Macaca mulatta: one gene and its partner. The protein of the gene in region 2 purifies or fractionates together with the protein of the main gene of each other region. This does not show direct contact. Links are inferred from orthologs where the notes say so. Each region holds a gene or a part of one and is shown on either strand. Other genes may lie near its edges.

What was found. Proteins that work in one complex are often made in the same cells at the same time.
Region 1: the proteins of APAF1 (region 2) and CYCS purify together in Homo sapiens (affinity purification with western blotting; 3 studies listed by BioGRID and IntAct, with this or other methods). This does not show direct contact. The link is inferred for Macaca mulatta from reciprocal best matches to the Homo sapiens genes APAF1 and CYCS.

Annotation. Positions count from the first base shown.
Region 1 is NC_133408.1:103,268,037-103,271,787, forward strand, and holds the start of CYCS (cytochrome c), read left to right. Parts: upstream 1-1,322; 5' UTR 1,323-1,585; intron 1,586-2,455; 5' UTR 2,456-2,463; coding exon 2,464-2,632; intron 2,633-2,737; coding exon 2,738-2,886; 3' UTR 2,887-3,751. UniProt on the Homo sapiens protein: Electron carrier protein. The oxidized form of the cytochrome c heme group can accept an electron from the heme group of the cytochrome c1 subunit of cytochrome reductase.
Region 2 is NC_133416.1:105,957,838-105,961,488, reverse strand, and holds part of APAF1 (apoptotic protease-activating factor 1), read right to left. Parts: intron 3,092-3,651; coding exon 2,979-3,091; intron 2,874-2,978; coding exon 2,742-2,873; intron 1-2,741. UniProt on the Homo sapiens protein: Oligomeric Apaf-1 mediates the cytochrome c-dependent autocatalytic activation of pro-caspase-9 (Apaf-3), leading to the activation of caspase-3 and apoptosis. This activation requires ATP. Isoform 6 is less effective in inducing apoptosis.

The DNA of each region.
Region 1 (3,751 bases), on a different chromosome or scaffold from region 2:
ATAGGCGCGCGCCACAACGCACGGCTAATTTTTGTATTTTTAGTAGACACGGGGTTTCGTCATGTTGGTCAGGCGGGTCTCGAACCCCTGACCTCAGTGATACACCCGCCTCGGCCTCCCAAAGTGCTGGGATTACAGGCGTGAACCACCTCGCCCGGCCAATAAACACCTGACTTAATACGGCAGTGCCAGACAGAATACAAGGAGAGAGAAGAAAAAACAAACAAACAAACAAAAAAAACAAGAAAGATGGAAAAATTAATCAGAACTTGGGACCAGAATTTGAGGGGTAAAGGAGTCAAGAAAACCAGTGACAGAACTAGGCATGTCAGGAAGGGGATCTAGTTTTAAAGGATGGCTATGATAACTAAAAGCTGGGTATTAACGCCTTTATTTCCAATATGATCTTAACTGCATTAAGTTTACTTGAACATGACCTTTACCTAGGTAAGAAGGGATGCAAATCCTCTAGATTTCCAATAATTCTCTAATCATCTAAAAATGTTTCTTCCTAGATGTTGCCAGCACACATTCTGTGTTCTTTCGGCACACGAACGCGAGGGGGAGGAGGGCGTTAGCAGAAAAGACGCTGACAGGTAAGGGGTCAGAGGGATAATCCTGTTCTGCCGCAAATGCAGCACGTTCCTCAGTCTTGGGGCGTCCATCAAGCGGAGAGCTGGAAGATGACTGAAAGTAACGGAGTAGAGGTGGAACTAGAACAAGGTCACGAGCTGCTGCCCAACTCGTGTAACTCCTGGTTCCAGGCTGTCCCTCTAGGATGCTGCTGGCGCCAGCCAAGGGAGCAGGACAGAGTCTGGGTAAAGGTCGCCAGCTGACAAGATGGTAGCTAGGAGACCTCTAGGTGCGCCAAAACTAAGGCGTCTTTTCCTGGACGGGCAGAACGCCCTGCTCAAAGATCATTACATCACCACGCCCAAGAACTGATACTTTAGCAGGGCAACGCGCCAACAAGGCGACTCCGCCCCACCCTCCCCGTTCCTCCAGCACACGCAAGCGCACAGAGGCCCGCGGGTGACATCACCCCTCCCGACACCACCTCGTTGTCGTACGACCAAAGGCCTGTCGTAACGGCCGGGCAAGAAAGGCCTCGAGAGGAAGGGCACGCACGCCGCACACCCTAACATGCTCGCCTGCATGCGCGCGCAGGTCCTTTGCGCAGGCATTGGGACTAGAGCCAATGAGGTGCGGCGACGTTACTGCGTAGCCGCCAGCTCGGCCGCACGTCAGGGCGCGGGAGCGCGGAGCGAGTTTGGTTGCACTTACACCGGTACTTAAGCGCGAACCGGCGTGTCCTTGGACTTAGAGAGTGGGGACGTCCTGCTTTGGAGCGGGAATATTCGTTGCGCCAGCGACTAAAAACAGGTGAGAGCGGGTCGCGGAAGCCGCACCTGGTTAGAGGCAGAGCTGTGGGCGGCGCGCACTCGCGAGCGACCGAGACCCAGGCGTGGAGCCTCCGAGTGGAGCCCGCGCTGCGTGGGAGGGCCGGGAGTGAGGACCCGGGACTGTGGTCAGACCGAACCGGGCGAGTAACCGCTTGAGGTGCGGCGGCCCTAACTAGGGACAGGTATGGTCTCAGTCAGGGACTAGAGGAGGCTTAGATACAGATCCGAGGAAGACGCGGCCCCTTTCGTAGTGGTTGCTGAGGGGCTATGGAAATGATAGGCAAGACTTCCCACCCGGAAAGCCGAAGCTTAGCACTTCACGTTCTCCTTCAGAGGGCAAAAGCTGTTGCTCTTCTAATAAGGGGCCATTTCTTTACGTGGGCACGTTTCTTCCGTCAGTCGTTCTGACATCCTAGAAACAGTTTCATCAGTCACCTTGAAACCGACCTGGATGGGTGACCTCATGTTCGCCCCGGGGGATCACAGGTAGGAGAGTGGGGATGTCCTGCGGGGACCGTGCAGCCTGCCCCTGCGTTCCCATTTACAAGTTCGAGTGTCAGGCTACTTCTGTGACCTGGGCAGGTAGAAACAGCCAGTACCGCTTTTTAAATATTTGTGTGCTTTGCAATATCCTCAGGAAGAGGTAGCTTTACATGGTAGTAAGATTAAATGACTAGGCCTTCTTAAAAATTGAAATTGTGGTGATTTTGGCTTAATGTGATCGCCCTTCAGCGTCAGATCTGTGGCTTAGTGACCATGATTTTCTCTTCTGAAACTGGAGTTTGAATTAGGTTCCCTCTTTGCTTGCTTGGGCTTTAACGTTCCTTCACGTGTACACACGAAAATAGGTTTTTGAGGAGGTGCTCCTAAAAAATGTTTTTGGTATTAAAGAGTATTTGGTATAAAGAGTATTAAAGCAATACAAGATTAATTCTGGTATTTAATGACATAAATTACCAATGGATTGGTAATTAAGTGGCTAGAGTGGTCATTCATTTACACTGTATTTGTTACCTGAGGAAAAATTACTAAGTTGGGGCTTTCGTTTTTAGAATTAAATATGGGTGATGTTGAGAAAGGCAAGAAGATTTTTATTATGAAGTGTTCCCAGTGCCACACCGTTGAAAAGGGAGGCAAGCACAAGACTGGGCCAAATCTCCATGGTCTCTTCGGGCGGAAGACAGGTCAGGCCCCTGGATACTCTTACACAGCCGCCAATAAGAACAAAGGTAAGAGCCACTTGTTAAATAAAACAGTACAAAACGCACGAATATCACCTGTGACACACTATGAGGAGTGTGAAATACTTAACCGATGCATTCTTTCTTGTTTAGGCATCACCTGGGGAGAGGATACACTGATGGAGTATTTGGAGAATCCCAAGAAGTACATCCCTGGAACAAAAATGATCTTTGTCGGCATTAAGAAGAAGGAAGAAAGGGCAGACTTGATAGCTTATCTCAAAAAAGCTACTAATGAGTAATAATTGGCCACTGCCTTATTTATTACAAAACAAATGTCTCATGACTTTTTTATGTGTACCATACTTTAATAGATCTCATACACCAGAATTCAGATCATGAATGACTGACAGAATATTTTGTTGGGCAGTCCTGATTTAAAACTAAGACTGGCTTGTGGTTAAATGAATATGTTCCGTTTTTGAATTTTAATAGTAATTCCAATTCAGTAAATGCTATCACTGTTTACCCCTTCTAAAGATATGATTAGACTTTGTTAGTAATGTTCAACTTTTCGCAAAGATGGTGAGTGCCATCTTAAAACTTACTGGAGATTGGTTTTATATTTAGATTTATATAGCTGGTTATGTGAATATATTTAAATACTGGGGAAATTCCTTCACTGTCTCAGAACTAAGCAAGATTCACCTGTGTTTTGTGTTCATTTGCCTCTTAAAGGCAAGGGTTGAAGATAAATAAGGTAGCAATGTCTAGAGTTTTGGCCTTAACGATGCCAATCTAATTATAATTCCCTGTATTTAAAATGGTTCCTTTTACTTATTGAAGAGCATTTTAGTATGGTTTATGTGTAATATTAAAGATTATTCAACACTTCTCACATCTTACAAATCTATAAGGTCACATGCTTTTAAAATAGTAGCAAGTTAAACTTCACTCTTGAATTCTTTACAATCTAAGTCAAACTAAGTTATAATTTAGGATTGTCTTTAAACAGCCATTCAGAAACATAAAACTGTAGAACTGTGTATTTGTGATTGGGAATGGTGCTTTTGCCAACTTAAAAGGATTAAAGTAGCGGAGATATACACAAATTTTAAAATGTGTGATCGCAAGACTAAAGATAATTAAAAAGAAAACCACAGATCA
Region 2 (3,651 bases):
CAACATAATGAGACCTTGTCTCTACTAAAAATAAAAATTAGAAATATCAGCCAGGTGTGGTGGTACGTGCCTATAGTACCAGCTACTTAGGAGGCTGAGGTAGGAGGATTGCTTCAGTCCAGGAGGCTGAGGCTACAGTGAGCCATGATGGCACCACTGCATCCCAGCCTGGGAAACAGTGTGAGAGCCTGTCTTAAATAAAAAAAAAAAAAAAGAATGATTAAATTTAAGGATATTCATCACAGCATACTTAGAACGGTGAAAAAAATCTTAAATAATGTAAACAATGTCCAATAACAGAGAAGTGGTTGAATAAATTAAGATATATCAATATTATGCCACTGGTAAATTTTTTTCAAAAAAATATTTAACAACATGGGAAAATGCTCAAGATATATAAAAAGGGTAAGGTCAGCCAGGCGCAGTGGCTCACACCTGTAATCCCAGCACTTCGGGAGGCCAAGGCGGGCAGATCACAAAGTCAGGGGATCAAGACTAGCCTGGCTAACGTGGTGAAACCTCGCCTCTACTAAAAATACAAAAAAATTAGCGGGGCATGGTGGTGGGCACCTGTAGTCCCAGCTACTCAGGAGGCTGAGGCAGGAGAATGGCGTGAACCCGGGAGGCGGAGCTTGCAGTGAGCCAAGATCACGCCACTGTGCTCCAGCCTGGACAATAGAGCGAGACTCCGTCTCAAAAGAAAAAAAAAAAAGGGTAAGGTCCAGCTGGGTGTGGTGACATGCGTCTTAGTTTTAGCACTTCAGGAGACTGAGGTGGGAGGATTGCTTGAGGGCAGAAGTTTGAGACCTGCCTGGGCAACATAGTGAGACCCTATCCCTACAAAAAAAATTAAAAATTACCCAGGTAGGTGGTGAGTATCTGCAGTCCCAGCTATTCAGGAGGCAGGGGCAGGAGGATTGCTTAAGACGAGACATTCAAGCCTGCGGTGAGCTGTGATCTTGTCACTGCACTCCAGCCTGGGTGACAGAGCAAGACCCTGGCTCTTCAAAAATAAGGGCAAGATCCAAAACTATGTATACATAATCTCAATTTTTAAAATCTTTGTTCTAAAAGACTGGAGGCAATACTCTCATGATGCTAATAATTATCAGATTATGGATAATTTCTATTTTTTTCTTTATAGTTTCACACATTTTCAAAATGGACATGCATCACCCTTTGTAATAACTACAAATCAAGCATTTTTCCTAAGTGTAAGATTTCTTCAAAAATAAACAAAACTGGCCAGGTGTGGTGGCTCAGGCCTGTAATCCCAGCACTTTGGGTGGCCGAGGCAGGTGGATCACGAGGTCAGAAGTTCAAGACTACCCTGGCCACGATGGTGAAACCCCGTCTCTACTAAAACTACAAAAATTAGCTGGGTGCAGTGGCACATGCCTGTAATCCCAGCTATTAGGAGGCTGAGGCAGGAGGATCACTTGAACCTGGGCAGCAGAGGTTGCAGTGAGCAGAGATCACGCCACTGCACCGAAGTCTGGGCGACAGAGTGAGACTCAGTCTCAAAAAATAAATAAATAAACAAACAAAACTGTGTCTCTATTTGATGGCAAAATGAAAAATAAGGTGGCCAGGTATGGTAGCTCATGCCTATAATCCCAGCACTTTGGGAGGCCGAGGCAGGCAATCACCTGAGGTCAGGAGTTTGAGACCAGCCTGACCAACATGGCAAAACCTCGTCTCTACTGAAAATATAAAAATTAGCCGGGCATGGTGGCACATGCCTGTAGTTCTAGATACTCGAGAGGCTGAGGCAGAAGAACTGCTTGAACCTGGGAGGCAGAAGTTGCAGTGAGCCAAGATCACGCCACTGCACTCCAGCCTGGACGACAGAGTGAGATTCCGTCTCAAAAGAGAAAAAAAAAGAAAAAGAAGAAAAAGAAGGTATTTCCAAGCATAGCAACAATGAAAGAAATAATTTTAAGAGTTGATAGATTTGACTGTATAAAATTTTAAGCTTCTATATGTCAAAAGAATACAACAAATAAAAAGTACACAAAAAACTGGGAAACAGGCTGGACATGGTGACTCATGCCTGTAGTCCCAGCGCTTTGGGAGGCTAAGGTAGGAGGATCATTTGAGGCAAGTAGTTCAAGACCAGCCTGGGCAACATAGCGAGATCCTATATATAAATTTTACATTAAAAAACTGTTTTACTGGGAAATAATACTTGTAAAAATATGACAAAGAGCTAATAGTTTCAATTTTTAGAGTATTTAGAAATAAGTTAAAAATGCTTATATCAAAAAAGAAAAGTGAGTCAAGGATAATTTCTTAAAGTCAAGGATAATTTCTTAAAACATATTCAATAAACAAGTAAAAAGTTTAACTTCACTAACGAAAAATGCAAATTAAGACACCAGTTTTAACTTACCAAATTAGAATACTATTTTTATAAAATCCCAAGCAAATACAAGTTTTAAATCTGATTCTCACTATATTTTTAACTCTGACAGCAGAGGTCACATCTGTGTCTCACTTCTCTCGCTAATGTGGTCTCTAACACACTGTGGGTAGATAGTAAATATTATTTTAATGAATAAATAAATACCATAACATCATGTATCCATTTAAGATATCAGAGAAGAACCTAAAATACTAAATCTCCCAGAAAAGTTCTTGGATGTTCATGTGCTAAGTTATCACATTTGTTAGCTTAATTTACAAAAGGGAAATTATATAACTCCCTATAACCTCCTCATAAACAAAATAAATAACCATACCTTTACATTCTTTTATAATACTATGAGCTTGTTCTGGCAAATCTGCTTTCTTCATATTAACAAAAAGGGATAAAATTTCAAGTCCTTTTTCTTTTCCTAAGGAACTCTCCACAGGGACTACATATTTAGGACCTGCAAACAAAAATCACAAGACAAAGTAAGTAATTTGGTATGCCACATATTTAAATGTAATTGAATTAAATATAAAGGTACTAAAAAGTTAATGAATAATCTTACCCATTACTGAATCTGTAACACTCTTGTCTCTGGTTGTAAGAAGAATCTGACACTGATTGTCAAAAGCTTTCAACACCCAAGAGTCCCAAACATCATCCAAGATCAACAGAGACCTAATTAAAAAAAAAAAATTAATCACTAATGACACTTATTTTAAGCTTCCTTTTAAAAAGATAATCACACCAGTGTCTTTTAAAATCTACCAAATTAAAAATTTTTTTAAACAAATAGATAGCTAGGTTTAGGAAAATGAGTCTTCCTCTTTGCTACACTCTTTTCTCAATATGCTGATTCAAATACGGAAAAAAAAAATTAGAGACTTCTTTCTCCTCAAACCCTAAATCAGAACATATTAAAATTACAGATCCTACCATAAAAGGTTCAGCCACCACTTACTGAGTGCCTTAAAAAAAAAAAGGGGGACCATTACTATCCAAGTAATGGGATTTTCCAACTCAGTCTTTAAGCAACAAAACCAAACTAGAACTGAGCTCAGGTTAGCATTAGAATGCATCATACAGTAACGATGATATGTAACCATTTTTTACCTATAAAACTAGCAATTTCAAATGTTGCAACCTAAAAGAACATTACCTTTCATACAAGTGGTTTTTTTTTAAACAATGTGTTTATTCATAGTAACTAAGAACCTCTATATCAATTCCCAATTGGT